3 linked regions of the Notamacropus eugenii genome follow. The protein of the gene in region 1 interacts with the protein of each later gene in a biochemical or structural test. Links are inferred from orthologs where the notes say so. Each region holds a gene or a part of one and is shown in the gene's direction. Other genes may lie near its edges.

Region 1 (7,968 bases):
ATGTAAATTCCCCACCTGAATGCAGCACCAATAAACATTTAATAACCCCACATTTACTGTCTGCTGAGCACCTTGTTAGGCCTTAGGGAAGATAGTTTACATAATAGGACAGAGTCCCAGCCACCAGTGGGCTTAAGAGTCTTAGAGCGTAAAGCATAATCAAATGAATGTTGAACTTGAGGTCAAGAGATCTGGGTTTGAATCCTACCTCAGACATTTAACTAGTATGAGGGAGGATGGTGTTTTACAACCCTGAAAATTCAATGTAATTTCAAATTCAGGTAGAGGTGATAAAAGATAGCCTTTGAGATACTTTACAACTCTCACATGCTATGTTGGGTAGGAATTTTATAGGCAAACGGAGGGAGAAAGTCCCATTTCATCCCCAGTATACGGAACAATCAGAGCAAAAGTATGGAGACATAAGAACCGTGCATGTTTAGGGGATAGAAAGTTATCCAATTTGACTGAAATGTAGAGGAGGGACATGAGAGCTATTTCAAGTACTTGAAGCTGTCTTCTGGAAGAGGAATTAAATTTGTTTTTGCTTGGCCTCAGAGAAGCAGAAGTAGGAGCAGTGGATATAAGATTGAGGAGAAAATTTTGGCTTAAGAGAAGGGAAAACTTCTAAAGGTTGCCTTATGAGGAAATGTATTCCCCTTCATTTGAAGTCTTCCAACAAAAGCTAGATGACCTACCTGTTTGGTATGCTGTTGAGGATATTCTTGGTCAGGTATGGGTTGGATTAGATGGTCTATAAAATCCTGCTCACCTCTGATTCTGTGCATGGAAGTGATTAATACAAGATAAGGCAGGAAAAGGAAGCTAAATTATGAAGAGTCTTGAATGCCAGATAGATGTCTGAACTCTCCCTGGGTCTCACTGACAGGTTGGGTCCCCCAGAAGTAACTGTTATTCCTCTCAAGGTTCTAGGGACAATCCCATGAGTGATTATCATTCCAAATGCCAGCTCATAAGCCCCCACTAGTATGCTTCCCCTTACAATCAATTAGTAGGTTCATTTAGTTCTTTAGCAAAGGCATTTATTCAAATAGCATAGCAAAAAACAGTAAGTAGTCACAAAGCATTTTTTTCCAATATAAAGGACATATTCTTCCACAAATACACTCAGAAATCAGGAAGCTGGTAAGAGTGGACATGAACTTAAAAGGTGTGTGTGTTCATCCTTCGTTGCCAAAGAAGACCATGCCATCAGAGAAACGATGACATGACTTGTACTTGTGAGGGAGGGTTGTACAGGTTGCCAGCCTCACTTCTCCTCCACAGCCAACTGAATCCAGTGACTTGATATTCCTCGGGATGACTAGAGATAACCCAGGATGAGACAATTGGGGTTAAGTGACTTGCCCAAGGTCACATAGCTAGTGAGTGTCAAGTGTCTGAGGTGAGATTTGAACTCATGTCCTCCTGACTCCTGCACTGGTGCTCTATCCACTGTACCACCTAGCTGCCCGTTGAATTTAAAATACAGTGGTAATGAAACACAAGTACTAGGGAACCCATATGGCTAGGCAATTCACTATTCCAGAGCTTCTAGGCCTCATTGTCCTTTCTTCAGAGGGTCATCACAAAGTTAACTTCTGGGCCTGCTCTTGAGGGTGTATTCTTTTTCTTCTTTTAGTCACTACTGTCTTCAGCTGGAAGAGTATCAGCATGCTCCTTTCAGCTGGAGTACTTTAGAACTCTTTTTAACTCTTGTGATCGTTCTGAAACTTGGACTTATTCATTTAGTGTTATCATGAGTCAGGTGGATTTCATAGGTCCAGGAAAAAGTAGGACCTACAGAAAGGAGGGCTGTTGGATTCCTGACTGAGGACAAAAAAACAGAAGCCTCTGTGGGTCCTTGTGAGCCTTCTTCTAATGGCCAAGCCTCTGCAATTCTTTGAAGTTGATTAAACAACCTTTCCAATTGTAAGGATGTAGGAAAACTTGCACACCTCTTTTTTTCTAGATGAAGAAACTGAAGTGGAGAGAAGACTTGCCCAAGGCCACATATATGTAACTCAGGGCCTTTTTTCCTTCATTGTTGAGGGCCAGGGTGGAGTGCTGTTGACAAGATCAGGAAAGATCTTTGGGGAAACTGTTCTTTGAGACTGTGCTCATTATCATGCGGAATGGCTCTCCACGCTCCCCAGACGTTGCTATCTCCGTGAGACAAACATGGGAACTACAGAAAACAAGGGATATGTAAAATAGATGTCCTGTAGGCTAACAGTCTTTAAAGACAATAAGACTGGCCAAATCACTGGGACAGGAGACGAGCAGAATGTCACATAGACTTGCAGTTTCTGTCTATATATACCCTAACCCTCGGATCAATAAATGGAATTGGTCTATCTTTTCCCGCCTCCCGTGTCTCTTTTCTTCACCACTTCACCGAGCTGTGTAGGGACGCGGGCCGTCTGCTACACTTCATCAACTTCCCAACCTGAAAGTAATTATATAACCCACTGCTTTATAATTAATATGATTAAATAATATTTATAACTCTGGGCGTACAGGCATTAGGGTCTATCTTATGTGCTTCTCCATAACAATAATAACTGATGTCTCTCTAAGGACACAGCTGACCTGCCAGAGCTTAGGCTAACAAGACATCAGATGTAGGACTGTTTTTATACCACCTGATAAAATACTTAATAGGCTTGAACCTGAGTCCATTAGAACTGCAGGACTGGGAAGTCCTTTGTCTCCTCATACAGTCCTCAATGTGGCCCACCTCTTGCTATCAATGGACTTTCTTCAGTCCATAGCAAACTTTTTATCTGTTCCCAGGGTTAAGTTCCAGTTGTTTCCTCCATTAAGGGCTATGTCTATGTATCAATCTGTGAGGTGTGTCTCTACTTCCTCAACTTGGCCTCAAATTTGCTCAGCCTGACTCCACTTTCTGGATGGGGTGCCTTCTTCACGGAGAGTAACTATGACTTGTGCAATCTTTGGCTCAAAAGGCTAACTATAATACGAGATTCTCTTCCTGTTGGTAGAGACTGTTCAATACCCTGCTTATGGAGGCCTTATAGACCAAGTTGGTGAGAGCTGGAGGCTTTTCTGCTATTCAACTTCAAAAGATACCATGATTCCAATCTTTTTTAACTAGATAACTGCTGATTAGGGGAGGAGGGAAAACACTTCATTCTAACCCTGGCACTGGGGATCTCACAGAGCAGCTGCTCCACAGATTTGATTACCTCCTACTAAGGAACTGCTAGATGATTTATCTAAGGGCCTAAGGGCACCGACTATTTATAATCTTCTTGTTGATTAAGGAAGTTTTAGTTACTTTTGGTACAAGGAAAACTTTTAACAAAACCTTTACATCAGTAAAACGATCCATCTCGCTAACATTCCTTCAGGCTCTATATCTTATGACTTTTTCTTATGATAATTACTGAATCAAACCTCCCAGCACGACTTCTGAATGGAATCGGTTACACAATGGAAATCCTTTGGTTACACAATAGTAACCTTAGGCAGGCAGGTGGGGTTAATGGTCTCATGTAATGGTTCACCAAGTATAGAGTAATTTTAGTAAGAGTCCACATTCTTTCCCCACTTCTCTGGCCAGGAACCCTGAGGTTGCGGGCGCCACCTGTCGGATGCTGGGGATCCTTAACTGAAACTTCTGTATTTGAACAAGAGGCACTGTGTTACTGAGGAAAGGGCACTGCATTTTGAGTCAAGGGTCCTGTTCTATACATAAATCACAAGTGGGAAGGCAGGGGGATTACAAACAGTCGTCCCCAGGGCCCGAGTGGTTCACTAGGACAAACCCACAAATGGAAGACAATCCAACAATTCTGGAGTATCGTGGGAGCAATATTGCTAGAGTCCTTGGGGAGCGGGTCGTTACTTAGTCACAGCAGGAGCAGGTTCCAGTCTTTGGCTTCACTTCAGGTACACAGGCAGAAGGATGCCAGTGATTGTGAGCCCCGCAAGGTGTGATTGATCAGTTCAAGCTGCATTGTGGGTCTGACTCACAAGCTGGAAAAGGCAATTCTGCAAAATCTGATCGATTAGCATATTCATTACACACATAAAATTGATTATAAAAATCAGAATTCCCTCCACAGACCTGTTTTTTACTATTCCACCAATAATTTTGGGCAATTCCTTTTATATCTCTCCGTCTGATCAGCTATAATAAAAGGAATTTGTCGTTTAGTCTAGTTCAGCTCTTTGTGACCCGATATGGGGTTTCTTGGCAAAAATACTGAAACAGCTTGCTATTTCCTTCTCCAGCTCATGTTACAGATAAGGAAACTGAGGCAAGCAGGATTAAGTGACTTGCCCAGGGTCACACAGCTAGTGAGCCTCTGAGACTGGATTCAAGCCCAAATTTTCCTGACTCCAGGGTGGGCCCCTAGCTGCCCAGCTGTAAAGTACTGTATTAAAATCCGGGTTCTGCTCCTGGCTCCCTGCGTACCTTGGGTAACGAGGCACCTGGACCTCAGTTTTCTCACCTGTAAAATGGGACAAGACAACTTTTTTCCACTTCTAAACCTCTGACCCTCAGACCAGAAATAAGCGCTGCGGTCCTCACTCCTCTCTCAGTGCCCGGCGCGGCCTTGAGCGAGTCACTCGAGGGCTCGGTGCCTCAGTTTCCTTCTCTGAAAAGCGGCGGGCTGGGGCAGACCCTCTCTGGGAAGCCTTCCCACGTCAAGCCCGGACGGCAGCTCGAGCACGACGGCGGCCCCTCGGCCTCGGCTCACGACGCTTCCCCTCTCCGTCCCAGCCCGGGCCTCTCCAAGGCTCGCTTTTCCCTCGCGCACCCCGGCGCTCCGCCCCACGCTCGTCCTCCCCCGAACCGCGGCCGGAGGAACTGGGCGGGACGACTTGGGAGGGACTTCCCTCGCTCTTTTACGACAGTACCCTCCTTTACCGTACGGCGCGGCGCGGTTGACGGCGGTGTCGCACGGTGGTCGCGGAGGTCACACAGGAGACGACGGCGGCTGCGGCGGCGGCTCCGGCTCACGGGCGCAGGCTCTCGGTGGCACAATGTGGCGAGTGTGCGCGCGGCGAGCCCGGTGCGCGGCCCAGCGGACGGGGTTTGGGAGCCCGGCCGCAGCCGTGGCCCCGAGGGAGGGCCCTGCGGGGCTGGCCCCTGGCCCGGCCGCCACCCCTAGGCTCTCGCGTTCTTCCCACTGCGGGGCTGGGGCGCTGCAGGGCTGGGGGCCTGGCTCCGGCTCGGCGGCCGTGCCGCGGGCTCGGCTGCTGCAGCTGCAGCTCTTGGGGACCCCGGGCCGGCGCTGGTACAGCCTCCCCCCCCACCAGAAGGTGAGGCCGCCCCCCGGCCCCCAGGCCCTGGTCCTTGACCCGGGGGTCTCGGGCCTTCCAGGCCTGGGCCGGAGACCCCCTCCTCCCGGCGAGTCCTCCCCATCCTGCCCTCTCCCCACCCTCACCCCCACCCCGTCCCGGTGGCTGGGGGCCGGGAGGGGACTGCGTGACAGACTGGAAATGTCACCTGAGAGGTAGCGTTCCTGCTGCCAACTCCACAGGGACGGGCTCATGGCAAGGAGCTGGAGCGTCTCACCGGGCTTCCGAAGGGGGCCCCGGAGCCCGGGAGGGAAGAAGCAGTGCTTGCCCTTTCGAAAGCAGGTGTCCCTTCTCTTTTCTTTCCAGGTTCCTTTGCCTTCTCTTTCCCCCACGATGCAGGCGGGCACCATTGCCCGATGGGAGAAAAAGGAAGGTGAGAAGATCAACGAGGGTGACCTTATAGCCGAAGTAAGTAGTTTGGAGAGGTGGGAAACTGAAAGCATTCGGATCGGGGTGCCTCGGAACTAACTCGGTTGTCTGGGTGGATAGTCTGAAGTATGCCGCAGCTTTGCTGGATGTCTTTCATAAGTCTGTCGGTGCATGAATGACCAAGCTGATTTTTATCTGAGAAGTCTTTAACAGCTTCTTTGATGTCTTTACAAAGGTGAAAGTTTTATTTTCACTTGTGAACTTTTTAATGCCAAATTAAGGTAATAAACGTCAGTCTGGCTGTGAGTATTTGAAAACATCCCATGTCTTCTGTTTGAAGGTTGAAACAGACAAAGCCACAGTTGGATTTGAGAGCCTAGAAGAGTGCTACCTGGCTAAGATAATTGTTCCAGAAGGTACCAGAGATGTTCCAATTGGAGCAGTCATCTGTATCACTGTTGAAAAGTAAATACTCTTGATTTTATCTGCTTGAACATTTCCATGCGCAACAGTTGGATATTGATGTGTTTGAACCTAGAATTGAGGGATGGCTAGAAGTTACCTTTTCCTCCATGACTCACAAGGGTAATGAAAATGTCTATGTGTGTTTTCTTCCCACCTTAGAGCAGAGGATGTGGATGCATTTAAAAATTACACCCTGGATTCCGCAGCAGCAGCAGCCCCCCCCACCCCACAGACTTCCACACCTCCTCCCCCTGCTTCTGTGCCTTCAACACCTTCTGTTCAGGCTCCAGGAAGCTCGTATCCTCCTCATATGCAGGTAAAGTTTAACTATTGAACTTTCCCAAGAATTTGCCTTTTCAATTGATTATTAATTCCTTTACATTTGTGTGTGTATTACTAATCTTGAGGAAGCTTAAAAACTGAAGTGGTTTATAGTTAGGTCTTTCTGCAAAGATAAAACAGTTTCCATATAGGAGTAAATAACAAGCATGAAAACTCAAGCTGTACCCATACCTGGAGGGTTCCTTTCAACCTGATCTCTGCCTTTTAAAGTACTACCTCTAGGTGACACCTTTTCTGTGAAGCCTTCATTGAGTATGCTCATTCCCTTCTATTTATCTGTTTGTATACATGTTGTTTTTCTGGTGTCTGTTCACAGTCCCTTACACTTAGTGAAAACTGAGTGAAGTTTATTCCCACATGTGACCTTGGACAGCTCCTTGGACCTTGCTGAGCCTGAGTGTTTCCATTTGTAGATCTAGTAGTTTAACGCTGCCTTCTTCCCGTGTCAGGGACGTTGCAAGTGTAGTAAATTATAAACCCATAATCAATATTTTGTAGTTTTTTTTCCTAAACATGTTATAATTGAAATCCAGAGACATGTTTGTCAAGTGCCTTTCCTTTTCTTTGTTTGTGATTAATTATGTCCTCTAAATTTAAATGGGATGGTTCTAGTCTTTCAGTAACACTGATGGTTTAAAGTTAGGAAACTGACAGCAACTAATGTGTATAAATTTAAATGTGTAAATAAACATTTGTTTAGAAACATAAGACATTAAGGCCCTCTTACTATAAAGATTTTATGACTTTTAAACATTGAGTTAGGTCAGAGTTGCTTGAAATAAATCTAGTATCTATTCATGATAGATGTATCTCTCATGATAGAGATAAAAGATGGAAAGTATTCAGCAGTATCTTCCTCCTGAAAGTTGGTTCAAACCAATATATCATTTATATGGCTCTGTCATTTGCCACTTTGTAGAGATTTCCAAAGAGGAATTATTTCTATTTTTTGGGGGAGGATCATGCTCCTCCTTATCATACTCTGACATCCCCTTGCTATTACCAGTGAGAAACTGGTATATTCAGTTTAAGCTCGTGTTTCTTCACTCTGCATTGTTGTGTTCCCTTGAATAATTATGCCTCTTTTGTTATTTTCTCTTTTATGCTCAGACTCTGCATCTTAAATAATTCACACATTTTAAAAAATTGTTTTGTTAATCTTAGTAATCAGATAATGATGACAAGTTTTAGAAGGAAGATTACTTTTGATCTGAGTCACCTGGTTTGCTGTTTTTGGGAATATATGAATCGTTATTGTTGTGTTTGTCCTTTGCTGCCAAAGAAGACCATGCCATCAGAGAAATGATAACATGACTTGTACTTTGTTTTGAGTGAAGGAGGACTGTGCAAGGTCACCAGCCTCACTTCTGCCCTGGAGCCATCTGGATCCAGTGACCAGATATTCATGAGGATGATTGGAGATGGCCCAGGATGCAGTGGGAGACTTTGGCCCCTTTA
Region 2 (7,086 bases), on another chromosome or scaffold:
AAGATGATGTCTTGACTTGCAAGTGAATTGAATTGAAGTGAGGCAGGACTACGCAAAGTCATCAGTCTCACTGTCTCCTCCAGAGTCACTGCAGTCCAGTGGTAAGGCAACTGGTTGTGGCTCTCATGGTTAAAGAAGGGAAGAAGAGAGAGAATTCTTCTTCTGCAGGAGTCTCATTCCACAACTAATACAAACTTTGTCTCCTGGAAGTCCCAACTATTTTGTACAGGTTATCCTTGGGTCAGTCCATCAATCAGTCAGTGGAATTGACTGTTGATTCACTTGGGTATGCGCACCTTATAAAGGGATCAGTAGTTAGAGGCATCTTTAGAAGTTGGTTTATCACAGAACTTGAGAAATGGAAGCGGCCTCAGTAGCCATCTAGTCCAACTTATATAAGAAAGGAAGCCCCACAAAAACAGCCAACAAATGATCACCCACATACCACCCAACCCCTGCTTCAAGACTCCAAGGAAAGAAAACTATCACCTCCCTAGGCCACTCATTCCATTTTTGGAAAGTTCTCATTGTTAAGAAGTAGAACCCTTCACTAACACCTTGTGATTATATTCTTGGCTAGGGGTTAAAGGGTTGGTAAAAAAAACCAATTCCACTACACTTAAGATTTTTCCCCCTCTTACATCAAGCCAAAATTCTTTAATTTCTACTCATTGCTCATAGTTCTGCCCTATGAGATCAAACAAAACAAATTTGTCACCATTGGTTTGTGACAGTCCTTCAAATGTTTGAAAAAAAGCCAACTTGTTCCCCCCAATTTTTCTATTTTCCAAGCTAAAAGTCCTAGTTCCTTTAATGGATCCGCATATGATTAGTCTGTAGTTCTCTTACTGTCCTGGTTCACTTTCCGTGGGCTGACAATACTTTGCCAATGTTTATCCTTCTTTCCAAAGACTGGTGGGACCAAGGACAATACAATACTCAAGTGTGATCTGATTGAGACAGAGGAAAGTGCCTTCATATATGTATATATGTGTGTGTGTGTATGTGTGTTTCCTTGTGTGTAAAATGAGTTGAAGGAAATAGCAACCACTCCATTATGTATATACATACATATACATATACATACACATATGCAATGTAATATAATATATAATATCTTACATATATATAATATATAGTCATATATTGTCTTATTATTAATATTATATATATTATAATATATATATGTTGCCAATATAGCCCTCTTTATATTCTTAATTGTTCAGCTCAGGCATGTCCAACTCTTTGTGACCCCATTTAGGGTTTTCTCAGCAAAGATATTGAATTGTTTGCCACTTCCTTCTCCAGTAACTTTACAGATGAGGAAAGTGAGGCAGAGTTGTGACTTGCCCAGGATCAGACAGCCAGTATCTGAGACCAGATTTGAACTCAGAAAGATGAGTCTTCCTGACTCTAGACCTGGCACTCTATCCACTGTGACACTTGGCTGCAAAATTCTAAATTGGATGCTTATATAAGAGGAATTAAGTGGAAGCCTCTGAATATGATGAACTTCCATAACATATAGAACATCTGATGAGCACTACTTCAGGGAAAACATGGGCATGTCCATTGATATTTTGAAAACACTTGGGGAGATGATTATCAGATACTCTAAAAGATACCTTGTAAATTCTTCAGGTTGATTGGAGTTCTAGTCAAATTGATCAGAGAACTCCTTCAATCAGCTCCTTCCCAAAGCGATGGGTTATCTGATTGATTTGTGCACTTCCTCCAATTCTCTACCAGAATGGAGAGAAACTCTTCCACTCTTTGAATGCTGTATGATTTCTAGGCCCATAGGTTTAAGCTGAAAGAACTCTGGAGGCCATGGAACCCAACCCCCTCCTTTAACAGATGAGGAAAGGGAAGTTGACAATGGTTAAATGACTTGCCCTGGATCACATGGCAAAGGTAAGATTTCAATCTAGATCTCCCTGATTCCAAGTCCAATGCTCTATCTCCTACTATGATACTATTCTCTCCCCTCCCCCATCCATCTTCCAAAGAAGATTCATCCACCTGAAGCAGTTTTCCTTTACTATAACATTCAGTGGGCAGCTGGGTAGCAAAGTAGATAAGAGACTAAATCCTGGAGTCAGGATCACCTGAGTTCAAATCCAGCCTCGGATACCTACTAGCTGTGTAACCCTGAACAAATCACTTAACCCTGATTGCCTCAAAAAAATATGGTATAACACTTAGGACATAATCCTTCATTAACACAACCTAAAATCCCATTAGCTTCTTTGGCTTTTGCTTAACCCTGCCGACTCATGGTTGAGCCTGCTGTCCACACAGGCCTGTTTCTCATGGACTATTATCTAGCCACATTTCCCAATCCTGTACTCATTCTGTTGTTTGATTTTAATTCATGTAGGACTTTACATTTATCTGTCTTAAATTCCACATTGTTCAGTTTCAACCCCTGACTCCAGCCTATTGAGATATTTCTGAAACTGATTCTCTTATCTAACATGTCCCTCCCAGCTTGGTGCTGTCCAAACATTTGATGAGCTTGTTCTGGGGAAGGAAGGATTCGTGTTTGGGAGGGCTAATTTCAAATAAAACCGGATCCTCCATTGTATCCTTTTTCCATACTCAAGTTCACAGAGCTCAAAGTCCCTTCCTGAGGAAACAGGCTCAGAAAGGTTAAGGAGTTATTACACAAGTAATCGACTATAGGTCTTCTGGTAGTTAGCTAGGGGGTGCAGTGGATAGAGCCCCAGGCCTAGAGTCCGAAGACCTGATTTCAAATCCAGCTTCAGACGCCAGCTATGTGACCCTGGACAAGTCACGTAATCCTGTTTCCCTCAGTTTCCTTATCTGTAAAATTAGCTGGAGAAGAAAATGGCAACCACTCCATTATCTTTGCCAAGAAAATCCCAAATGGGGTTACGAAGAGTCAGACACAACTAAACAACAATAACAACAAACTTCCGGTAGTTTGCTGGCCTCTAGTGCTCCGAGGGTTCTCTAAAGTGCAAGGGGGAGCCAACCCTGAAGGTCAAGTGCAAGAATTACAAGGCTTCACAGATTCACCATCTATTGAGCTGGGGTTCTCTTGAAGAAGTTTATATTCTAATGGGGGAAAGAGGACGCATAAAAAGGATACATTGTACATCTTCCCCTAGTCTCTAGGCCAGGCCCCCGTGAAGGCCGAGTCTGTGGGAAATTTCACTTGAAACTTCCATGCTCCTCCTTGTACCTCTGGTGGTCGGCCTGGCACGTTCGGGACTACGCACCTGCCAACCCCTCCCCTTGGATACTACTTCGTGATACCACCTGTGACCACGAGGGGGCACCGAATTGCATTTTCCTTGAAATAGTCAGGGTGACCCTGAGGAGTGACGTCGGGAGGGGGAAGGAGAAACCTACACATAGCGGAGAGACGGGGTGCGGGGGTGGGGGGGGAGAGGGGAGTGTAGGTGTGCGTGCATGCATATTATGTAATGGGGTAAGGATTCCCTTCACCACCCCCAAAAGCAAAAGCCTAAAGTGGAGCGGGATGACATCTCCAAAAGCTTAGAGGGGGTGTTGAGTTTTAAGGCCCGCCCGGGATGCGCTTTTCTTAACGAGAAAACCAAGTGTTTGCACGGCATTTTCATCTTCCTGAGTTCCCAAGGGAGCCAAACAAGCCCCAATGAATCAATTTCTACCACCTGCAGGCCTCCTTCCTTGCAAACGTGCGGCTGAGTCACAGCCTGAAAAACCTCCTCCCTTGGGCCTGGAGGCGTGAGCGCAGGGCTGGAGAGGGGCCTCCCACGTCCCACCCCCGGGAGGGGGACATGGGGAATCAGGGGATGAAAGGGCTCCCGAGAGCTCTTCCCGGGAGACTCGGGGTAACCCATTCCCAAGGCTAGGAAGGTTAAACGACCTACGGGGAGGGGACAGGATCTATGGGTTGGGCTACGGGAAGGGAAGGGTTAACAGCTTCAGCCTCGGGGGCGGGATCGAAGAAGGAGCTCGGTCACAACTGGAGAGGGACCCTGGCCAGAAAGGGTTAAGAGGGTGGGCGCCGTGGGAAGCCACGTGCCGAGGCGTCTTCTCATTGGTCCGACCAGAGTTGTTTGTGTGAGAGGACTGGAGGCGGCCGGGGGCGGGGAGAAATGATTGGCCAGAGGAGCGTAGGCCGCTAAAGCGGTGTTGAAAGGGGAGGGGAGGAAGGAGCAGGCGAGGTGGCTGGCCCCGGGCGTCGGGAGCGGGAGCTGAACGCCTCTGGGCCCCGGAACGGGGCCTCCACCTCCACTGTCACCGTCACTGCCACTGCCACCGCCACCATGCGTTGGGTCCGGGCGCTGCTAAAGAACGCGTCCCTGGCCGGGGCGCCCAAGTACATCGAGCACTTCAGCAAGTTTTCCCCGTCCCCGCTGTCCATGAAGCAATTTCTGGACTTTGGTGCGTAGGACTTTGGGCGAGGAGGGGTCGCGAGAGCTTCAGACTAGGCAGAGGCGATGGGGAGGCAGGCGAGGGCTGCAGGCTGGCAAGAGTTAATGGAGAGTGAAGGGGGCTGCAGGCTGGCAAGGGTTAACAGAGAGTGAAGGGGGCTGCAGGCTGGCAAGGGTTAATGGAGAGTCAAGGCGACTCCAACCTGAGAAAAATTAATGGGAAAGTCAAAGGGGTTCCAGCCTGGGTAAGGTTAATGGGAGAGTCAAAGGTTGATGGACAGTCAAGGGCTTCAGTCGGGGAAGGGTTAATGAAGAATCAAGAGGACTGCAGGCTGGCAAGGGTTAATAGAGAGAGAGAGGCCGGGGCTCCTGGCTGTGAGAAGAAAAGAATTGGGCTCTAGTCCGGGAGGAGTTAATGCCAAGGCTGGACCCGGAGCTGGCCCGGGGCTTGAGTCTGAGAAGGGTAAATAGAGAAGGAGCCGGGAAAGTAGGAGCCCACCCTAACAAGGTTTAAGGAGGGGGCTGGGAGAGGAAGGGTTATTGGTAAAGAACTCCAGACCAGGGCTAGTTTATGGGGCAATCTGGAGAAGGTGAAAACAGGATGGTCAAGGTTAAATGAGGGATCTGTGAGTAGGGAACTAGGAATAAAAGGGTTTAAGAGGCGAATTAGGACTTGGGAAAGAGTTGGAGATGAGAGGTGATGGTAGCAGGCCAGGTTGATAGAGGAAGGGATTCTGAGCTGCAAAGGAGTTTCTTCTGGGAGAATGAAGATGTGGGAGGGAGGGGGAGGCTGGGGAAAGGAGTTGGAGAAAGACTAGGGAGGGGCCCAGATATTAAAAAGGATTATTTGTTGGGTAGGGGTGTCTCCACACATGGTATCCAAGGTTAAGGTGGGTTAGGGAACAGGAAGGTGGAGGAGATAGGAGGAAAGATGGGGACAATAGGCAGAGAGAGCCGGGCAAGGGGAGGGTCAATGACATTGCTTCTAATGGAGTAGTGGGGTACCTAGGTCTTGTGCAGACAATGATAGGAACACTGAGGGGTAAAAATAACCGAGGTCTATAGATTTATGAATAGGACAGGAGAGAATCCTGGGATATGGGACTTTAGAGGAGGATTCTGTCATAAAGGACAGAGGGCAGGGCACAGGAGTTAAAGGTTAGAGGTCTTCCATTAGTAACTGAAGAGAGGTATTAGGGGCTAAGGTTAGGTATCGGCCCATTCCCCTACCCCCACTGCTTTCAAAGGCTGCCCATCTAAACAACGACATTTGAATATCAAAGGCTCCCAAGCTGTTTTTGAGGGGCAATGAACTATAACTGAGGACAGAAACACCATTAGATTCCTTGTGGGGTAGAGTAGAAGAGGGGAAAGGAAACCACCTCTTGGTATCCCCCCCATCTTAGGATCAGGATCACCTTGTACCAGTCCCCGTTATGATGGGTGGGCCAGTTAGAGGCTGTACTAACTGGGCTCATGAAATGGGTATTGTGTGTGCCTGGATCTATCCGTTGGGCACTTCTTTGGTGACAGCTGCGGGGCGAGTGGGGAGGGAGGTCTTCTAGATCTCTGTAGGGTTGGAAAGATAGTGCCTGGCTCTGGTTATGGTCTACATCACTGCAAGGGGAGGAAGAGTACAGCGCTTGGCAAGGACCTAGAACCATAGGGATTGTGGCAGCTAGACACCTGCTCATAGGTCTTGATTCCTCTCTGCCATTCCTTTATCGCCTTTGCCCATCCCTAGTCACTTCATTCTCAACCAAAGATCTGAGGATTCATGCTCCCCAAGTATGAGGGATGATCTGGGAGTTAGGGAAAGCAGAGGAAGATGGGATCCCAGTTCTCCCTTAGACAGGTCCTAAGGCAGGTGATCACTGTACATCTGGCCTCAGCAGGGAGGAGAACCTAAGCCAAAAGTGATAAATTTTAGATCTATTCCAGCAGAAACAGTGAAGCAGGAATAGCTGAGCAGTATCGTAGTATAGCAGAAAGAGTCCTTCCTGGTTTAGCAGTGAGAGGATCTGAGTCCATATCCTGCCTCTGAAACCCAAACCTGTTTGATGTTATACACATCATTTAACACCCTTGGGCCTCAGTTTCCTCATCTGTAAAATTGGGGAGGCGGTTGGATTTGATGGCCTCTGAGGGCCCGTCTAACTCCAGACCTATAATCTGTTTCCTTCCTCTGGCTTGCCTCTAATTTCTCCCTGCCTTAACTCAGCTTCTGTTGTTCAGGAAAGCCAATGTTCTAACCCAAGGACTCTGACCCTTGAGAATCTGAAAGCCCTTCTCTCTTTGGAACAATACCCTGGAATTGGGACCCTGTTACATTTAATTTTTTTCCCTATTTCATTCCCTGCTACCCAAGTTACTAGCACCTGGTAGAGAAGGAAAAAAGAAGAAACTTGTTGGCCTGGAGGAACCTGGGTTACAGTAAAATAGATGTAATTGGAGTAAGGCTGGGGAGTCGCTATCAAGATGGGATAGATGGGTGGAGTTTAGGGAGGGCAGAGTAGGAACGCTGGATTGGAAAGCAGGAGACCTGGGCTCTAATCTAGACTTTGCCACTAGCTGTGGGAATTGAGGGAAGTCTGTTCTGTTCCAAGGTTTTCTCAGTTTCCTTCTCTGTAAAATAAGGGGACTGGATTAGATGGTCTCTAAGTGTCCTTCCATCTCAGGCAATCAATCTGTAGCTTAA
Region 3 (7,712 bases), on another chromosome or scaffold:
TGTGTCACACATTGTCGGGAAGTCCAGCACACGTCAGCAGGAATATCTGCAGGTAATGCCTTTTTACAATACACTATACTGTTACATGACAAAATACTGCATCATCAAAATTTCAATACAGGAAAAAAAACATAAAAATAATAAATTATTAAATTTAAGATGCATCATTTCAAAAAAAATTATATCCTATATTTTATTATATCTTATATCCTATATTTTTTTGAAATGATGCAAACATCAAAAACAAACAAACAAACAAACTCGTTAAAAGGTAAAAGAAAGTAGATTTCCAGGGTGGCATCGAGTAATTTTCTTTTTTTTTGAAAAGTTAGTGGTAGGACAAACAAGTTGGGGAACTTCTGCCCTAGTTGATCCAATACTTTTTCCAGTGTTTCCTCATGTTCTTCTAGAGTCTCCCCAAAGACAATACTGTCAACAAAAAGGACCTCCTCTGACCCTAACAGCTGTGCATTTTACCCTGATTTCTCTCCTGCATTCCAACCGCCTGTCAGACATCTTCACCTGGGAATTGTTTAGGCTTCTTGAAAACAGAACCCACCATCTTCACCACTTAGCTCACATCTCCTCCAAACTTCATATTCCAGAAGTTGAAAAGACTTAAATCCAGGACAATCCTGAAGGGGAAGAGGAAAAATAATGTGTGGCCTGAGCTGAGGAGTATGACCAGAAAGAGGGAAAGGGCAGTTTAACTTAGCCTGACCTTAGTGAATGGCAGACTCTTGTGTGGGTGGACGAATGGTCAGTCTTCCTTGGTAAACACTGGCTCCTTCAACATGCCCCATAACAACTAAGTCACGATTAAGATACAAACAGTGCCCTAAGAGTTAAAAAAAAATAAGGTTGCTTTTCTAGTACTTTGTGAAGCCCCTAGTTTATTCTGTAACCTGAAGGCACCCTAAAGTCCTTTTCCCAATTATCTTGAACCTGTACCAAAAGAATTGCTTTTGTCTCCCTTATTCTGTGTTCCTTGGGTCCTTTAATTTTTAACCCATATCCTCCTGCCCTGTCCTTAAATCCTTAAACCATAAAACTTCCCCCTTACCCATAAAATTTCCCCCATCTTCCTTACTCATCTTCCTGTCATCCATCTTCCTCATTATGTCCCTAATCTTCAACCCCCATAAAAATCTCTAAAACTACATCATCATTCTGAAATCTCTTCATAAGCATAACTTGAGGCCTGAATATTGAGACTTTACTTAGCCATCTTGCTAAGGAGCCCCGTGATGCTCTTTTCTTCTTTTTTTAATTTTTTAAAATTTTTCTTTTTTAATTATTTTACTTGTTTTCAGTGTTCTACAATCACTTCCATATATCTTAGATTTTTTCCCTTCCCTCTCCACTCCCTCCCCAAGACAGCATGCAATCTCATATAGGTTCTACACATACATTCCTATTAAATACATTTTCACCTTAGTCATGTTGCATAGAAGAATTAAAATGAAGGGGAGAAACCATAAAACAAAATATAACATAATACAAAAGAAAAAGGTTGGCTTCATTCTGTGATCCAATTCCATAGTTCTTTCTCTGGATGTTGAAGGCATTTTGCCTCAAGAACCCACTGGGAATTTTTTTAGGTCCTTCCATTGTTATGAAGGACTAAGTCTACCAGAAAAATTCCTCGCACACTGTGGTTGTTGCTGTGTACAATGATCTCCTGGTTCTGCTCCTTTCACTCAGCATCAGTTCATAAAAGTCTTTCCAGGCCTCTCTGAAGTCTTCCTGTTCATCATTTCTTACAGCACAATAGTATTCCATTACATTCATGTACCACAACTTGTTCAGCCATTCCTCAATTGATGGGCATCCTCTTGATTCCCAGTTTTTGCTCACCACAAAGAGAGTGGCTATAGATATTTTTGTACATGTAGGACCCTTTCCCATTTTTATGATCTCTTTGGGATACAGTCCTAGAAGCAATATTGCTGGGTCAAAGGGTATGCACATTTTTGTAGCCCTTTGGGCACAGTTTCAAATTGCTCTCCAGAATGGTTGGATGCGCTCGCAGCTCCACCAACAATGAATTAGTGTTCCAACTCTCCCACATATTCTCCAACATTTATCATCTTCCTGTTTTGCCATGTTAGTCAATCTGATAGATGTAATGTGGTACCTCAGTGTTGTTCTGATTTGCACTATGATGCTTTTTTCAAGTTAAAATAAAAAGTTCCTATTGGCTATAAGTGAAGGTCTAAGTGAATTCTTTCACACCTGAACCTGCTCTACCAACTCCAAACCTCCTCAATCCCTCCTTGTTAGGTGTCTGAGTAACCAAAGGCTTCGACCGAGGCTACTGCCCTAATTTGCTTCAGCCTTGGTGGCATGTTAGAGAAGAGTAAGGAGGAGAAAATGTGACTAATAAAGAGAAAAAGACATTGGGGGGCATTTGGTCCCCTAATTCAACCATCCATGACTATATAGGCATTAATAATTCTGCTCAAAGGCCCCAAGTGGATCCCTACTGATTCAAGGATAAAAATACCAATAGTTAATCTTGATTTATAAAACCCTTCAGAGCCTGGCTTCCACTACCTGTCCAGACTGACTTGTATTCCTTCCTTTCCCCTACTCTCTGCTCCAGTCAAGGAGGCACTATTCCATCTTCCATTTCCCTTCAAACCTTCCCTTCTTACCTGAGCTTCATACAATCTCTGGCTTCTTCTTGGTTCAGAGACCATCTCCTACAGGAAGTCTTTCCTGATTCTGCCAGTTGCCAGTACTTTCTCCCCCCAGAAGTTATCTTGTGTTTACCTATATGCTACTTTCTTCTTCCCACCCCAAGAGGAAGAAAAAGGAATAAGCATTTATATAAATTGGATGCCCTGCTAAGCACTTTTAAGAAATATCTCATTTAATCCTCACAACAATCCTGTGACGTAGGTGCTATTATTATTCCCATTTTACAGGTAAGGAAACTGAGGTTAAGTGACTTGCCTAGGGTCATATAGCTAATAAATGTCCAAGGTCAGATTTGAACTTGGGCCCTCCTGACTCTAGTCCCAGCCCCTCTATTCAGTCTCATATTAATTCTTGGAGGCTGGGATTGTTTTGGTTTTTTCCAGTGCTTAGTACACAGTAAGCATTTAATGAAACTGAATTGCCTAAATAAATAAATTGAATTGCCAAACCAGCAAGCCAATAAATAGTGTCTATGATAATAGTGTTCTAAGTGCTGAGGACACAAATAACAAAAAGAATGTTAGTGCCTGTGCTCTGGGAGCTTAAAATCTAAAGGAGGTAACACCCAAAAGACTGCAGGAAAGCCGGTAGAACACAGAAAGAAAGGGAGAGACACCAAAGGGTACCAGGGGCTGGGGCATCTTGTTCGTGGACTTGAAACCTGGCAGGGCAGCAGATACAGGTAGAGAGAACCGCCTTATTGAAGGGTCCCTTTCCATAGGTCATAGCATGTGAAGGTTAGTACTGTTTGGAAGGTTTAGAGTCACCCTGATAACTGTCTTCAGGTGTGGTGTCTGAAGTACTGATGCATTTCCTAGGAACTCGTCTTGCTTTATCTGTCCCCAGAAGGAAGATCTGGGGTGAAAGTCATCAAGTGCTGTCTAAGGGTGTAAGAGGCTGTGGATTCCGCTGTACCGTCAAGGATGTTGCCAGGAAAGTCCTTGCTCAATGGATCACGGATTCAAAGCTGGGAAAAGTCCCAGAAGCCACCTGCTCCAATCCTCTCATTATACTTTTGAGGAAACTGAGGCTCAGATGTGTTATGTAACTTGTTTGAAGCTGTGCAGGTAATAAAGGTGTTAGAGCTGGTAGCTGTACCCAGGCCCTCGATGTTCTTTCCACCCATCCACACTGGCCAGCTTCCGTGGGGGGGCTTCGAGACTCAGCTCAAACACCATCTTCTTCAGGAAGCTTTTCTCTGCCCTCCCAGCTATTTTGCATACAGGGCATCCCAAAAGCCTTGGTGCAAATTTTAAGCTTTTGAAAAAACCTTGACTAAGTTGTAAACAGCTATTTGCAAGTTGTCTTCCTTGTTAAAATGTGAGCTCGTGGGTGTAGAGCATCGTTTCAAAGAAACCTGAGAAGACTTACAGGAACTGATGCAAAACGAAGTGATCAGAACCAGGGAAACCACACGATAACAACAGCACCACAGTAGAATTCAACGGTGAAAGATTTAGGAATTATCGAAATGACCACTCACAATTCCAGAGCACTGCCTCATAATGAGAAAGATTACGCATCTGCACCGAAAGGCATCGGTCTCAGGGGACAAAGTTTGTTGTGTTTTTTAACCTGGCTAATGTGATCATTAGTTTTGCCTGACACGCATCTATCTGTAACTTGTGTTATGTTTTTCTTGCTTTCCCAGTGGGCTGGAGAGAAAAATTAGAAACTGAAAATAAAACAAAATGGAATTTTTAAAAAGTTACATGCCTGTAGATGGACTCTCTCCAAGCTACTCGATGGAGATGGGCGGGTCTCCTAGGTGATACTTAGTATCCTAGCCGGCCTCCAGGGCTGATATTTACAAAGCCGACCTCTCAGCTGAAATTTACAAAGCTGACATTTACAATCAAGTGGAGCTCAAGAGCTGATATTTACAACCAAGTATGAGCCCCTTCGCCTCCCACAACACACACTGGGCCAGGCGGACTGCCTGGACAATTAGCCGTTATCTAGCAGGGGAATCAAAGAACGGAGGGTCAGAGACTTCAAAGGAGCTTTGCGGACCGAAAGGCTCTCCAGGAAGGAGAACTGAGCGTCAGGGCTAAAAGGAGCCTGGGATTTCAACCCACGCTCGGTCGCAGGCAAAGGGCACGGCGTGCCCTCTGAGTGTGCGCCCCGACGCTATCAATAAAGTTTATTTTAATCGAAATCAGGTGGCGCCTCCGGCGGAAAGGGACACACGCGAGCTCCAATCCCAGGCTGTCTGGCTTTGGGGTCCCGCCCTTGCCCCGCCTCCCAGAGCGGGAAGGAGGGAAGCACGCGCACACCGCGCCCTCCCATTGGACGGTGTCGAGGTCAGGGGAGGGGCCGACCCGTCCCCTCGCTATGGCTCGCCGTTGTCATTAGACCGAGCCTCCGTCACCGGTAGAGGACACGGGCAAGATGGCGACGGGGCTAGTGCGAAGAGGGCTCACCGGCTGCGGCCAGCAGGTAGGCGCGACCCCGAAGAGAAGACACCCCTCCCACGCCGGCCCCGGCCCCTCCACCCCACTGACTTTCGTTCTCTCTCCCTGCCCGCCAGGTGTCCCGGTTGCTGCGGAGGCGCTTCCACCGCTCGGCGCCCGCGGCGCTGCAGGTACGGGGTAGGGCGGCAGGGGCCGCGGGGCGAGGGGGGGGGGGGGGGGGCGGAGAGGAGGGAGGCCGGGGCTGCGCCTGCGTATTAGACTCCTGCGTGGGGGTGGGGCGCCGTCTACTGGGCTGCAGTCCCGGACCTCTGCCCGACTGGGGGCGGGGCCGCCCGTGGAGGAGTGTAAGCCCGTTGAGGGCAGGCGTGTTTGCCTCCCGAGACGGCTAAGGATCCCTTCGTGCCCCGAGGTGCTTAATAAATGCTCCTTCCTTTCTCTCCACCCCCAAGGGGCCCCCCCAGAGTTAGCATCGCCCCCCGCAAGCGGCTCGAGCCTGTAGAAAATTGGAGAGTGTTGAAAACTAGCGAACACATATAGAAAGCCAGAAAACGTAACCCCAGGGTCCCCAGGCTTCCCTCTTGCACCCCCCTTTCCCCAAGGGAGCCTCAGCTTTACGAGGAAAGGCAGACCCCCGGTCACAGCCGTCCCCCATCGCCCACTTTTCTGGGCTAACTTGGCCATGGCCCTTTTCCAAATCCCCCTCCCCTGTTTCCGGTTCTTTAATCATATGTTCCACCAAAATAGGTTCTAATCAGTTTAATTTAATTAAAAGCAAACATTCTGCCCCGGATTCCCAGGGAAGGAGCCGGATAGGCCCGGGATGGACGACTTTGTCCCCACGCTCTGGCTGTAGCTTGGATTGTGTCTGCAGGGGGATGCGACCTTGGCTTGGCTTAGGGGCGGTTTGGGGTCGTTCCTGCGGTGACCTTGGCTCTCTGGGTTGGCCCACTCCCATTCTCCCGGACCGTCCTGGACTGGCAGGGGAGCCCTGGGAGGGGCCTGGGCCGCTTCGGACCGAGCGCCCTCCCGATGCCACAGGTGACCGTTCGAGATGCTTTGAATCAGGCCATGGACGAAGAGCTGGAACGGGACGAGAAGGTCTTCCTGCTCGGAGAGGAGGTTGCCCAGTACGATGGCGCCTACAAGGTAATGACCAAGGATTCGGGGTGCCCCCGGCGGGCCTGGCCGCCCCGCGGTAACCGGCTCTGCCTTCGTGTTCACTGCAGGTCAGCAGAGGCCTGTGGAAGAAGTACGGAGACAAGAGAATTATCGACACCCCCATATCCGAGGTAGGGCGCCCGCGGGACAGACCGTGGGGAGGCGGGAGTGTGGCTGGCCGAGGCCTGCCCTCCACACCGAGCTTTTGCTTTTCAGATGGGCTTTGCCGGGATTGCCGTAGGGGCAGCCATGGTAAGTAAGGCACATGGGTCATTTTCGGCTTGATCTTAAATTGTTTTAACGTAATGCAACAATGGTAGTTGATACTTTTTTCCTTTTCGTTAAGCTACTTAGTTATGTTGGGTTTTTTCCTAATTTAACAGGCAGGATTGAGGCCAATTTGTGAATTTATGACCTTCAATTTCTCTATGCAAGCAATCGACCAGGTTATAAACTCAGCTGCCAAGACTTACTATATGTCAGGTGGGCTTCAGTCGGTGCCCATTGTCTTCAGGGGACCGAATGGTGCTTCCGCTGGGGTGGCTGCCCAGCATTCCCAGTGTTTTGCAGCTTGGTATGGGCACTGTCCTGGATTAAAAGTGGTCAGTCCTTGGAGTGCAGAGGATTCAAAAGGCCTTATGAAATCAGCAATCCGGGATGACAATCCCGGTGAGTCCTTTTTTCCTTCTGATTTACAGAGAATCTTCCGTAGAATTTTATAGTTGGGGAAAACCTTAGAAATGAGAGTAAAACATGCCCATTTTAAAGGAACTGAACCTTTAGCTAGTTTTAATCAGATGACTTGAAGAGAGAAACTAGTTTTGTTTTTAAATCTTGATTTCTTCCTGTTTGAATGTGAATAATATCCTGACGTTCAGAGAAAACGTGTGTTTGCCCCTGTCCTGGCTTGTGATCCATAGCATCTCTGGATTTCTGACATGCTTTAATTTTAATAAGCAGAAGAGCCGGATTAGCTAAGATGAATGTAATATAGACAAGCCATTATTAAGCTTAGCTGTCTTTTAAAACTACAGCAGTTGAGATTTCCTCATATAAAACACAGCTTTTTTAAGGGAACTCTTCTAGAGGTTAATGTCATTGATTTATATTTAATCTACATGAGTAGTTAGTCATCCTTAACACTCCCCGATACTTGTTTAAAAAATAGCCTGAAACAGACTTGAAATCCCTCTGATCTTTTTGGACTTCACATTGACTTAGAAAACCTCAAATTAACATTCTGTGGGCTATATTTTTTATCTATTTTGTTAATTTCCCATACACATTTTATTTGAGCTCTGGCAGGGCTCCAGAGTTTTGCTGTCCCCCATGAGCTGGGCACTTCCCGCTTTCCCCCCTCCCTTGTGGCATCCTTCAGTTCTCCTAGGGAGGCGTTGGCCATGGGGTGGGGAGGAGAGGAGGCCCAGATGACTCCTG

The links.
Region 2: the proteins of DLAT (region 1) and PDK2 form a complex in vitro, tested with the Homo sapiens proteins (2 studies listed by BioGRID). The link is inferred for Notamacropus eugenii from reciprocal best matches to the Homo sapiens genes DLAT and PDK2.
Region 3: the proteins of DLAT (region 1) and PDHB form a complex in vitro, tested with the Homo sapiens proteins (2 studies listed by BioGRID and IntAct, with this or other methods). The link is inferred for Notamacropus eugenii from reciprocal best matches to the Homo sapiens genes DLAT and PDHB.

The regions. Positions count from the first base shown.
Region 1 is NC_092876.1:142,178,572-142,186,539, reverse strand, and holds the start of DLAT (dihydrolipoyllysine-residue acetyltransferase component of pyruvate dehydrogenase complex, mitochondrial), read left to right. Parts: upstream 1-4,901; 5' UTR 4,902-5,016; coding exon 5,017-5,295; intron 5,296-5,640; coding exon 5,641-5,742; intron 5,743-6,043; coding exon 6,044-6,168; intron 6,169-6,327; coding exon 6,328-6,484; intron 6,485-7,968.
Region 2 is NC_092873.1:350,497,979-350,505,064, reverse strand, and holds the start of PDK2 (pyruvate dehydrogenase kinase, isozyme 2), read left to right. Parts: upstream 1-4,055; 5' UTR 4,056-4,280; coding exon 4,281-4,398; intron 4,399-4,754; exon of another isoform or gene 4,755-4,851; intron 4,852-7,086. UniProt on the Homo sapiens protein: Kinase that plays a key role in the regulation of glucose and fatty acid metabolism and homeostasis via phosphorylation of the pyruvate dehydrogenase subunits PDHA1 and PDHA2.
Region 3 is NC_092874.1:466,872,360-466,880,071, forward strand, and holds the start of PDHB (pyruvate dehydrogenase E1 component subunit beta, mitochondrial), read left to right. Parts: upstream 1-4,693; 5' UTR 4,694-5,094; coding exon 5,095-5,142; intron 5,143-5,233; coding exon 5,234-5,287; intron 5,288-5,404; exon of another isoform or gene 5,405-5,526; intron 5,527-5,988; exon of another isoform or gene 5,989-6,146; coding exon of another isoform or gene 6,147-6,155; coding exon 6,156-6,263; intron 6,264-6,343; coding exon 6,344-6,406; intron 6,407-6,491; coding exon 6,492-6,527; intron 6,528-6,658; coding exon 6,659-6,944; intron 6,945-7,712. UniProt on the Homo sapiens protein: The pyruvate dehydrogenase complex catalyzes the overall conversion of pyruvate to acetyl-CoA and CO(2), and thereby links the glycolytic pathway to the tricarboxylic cycle.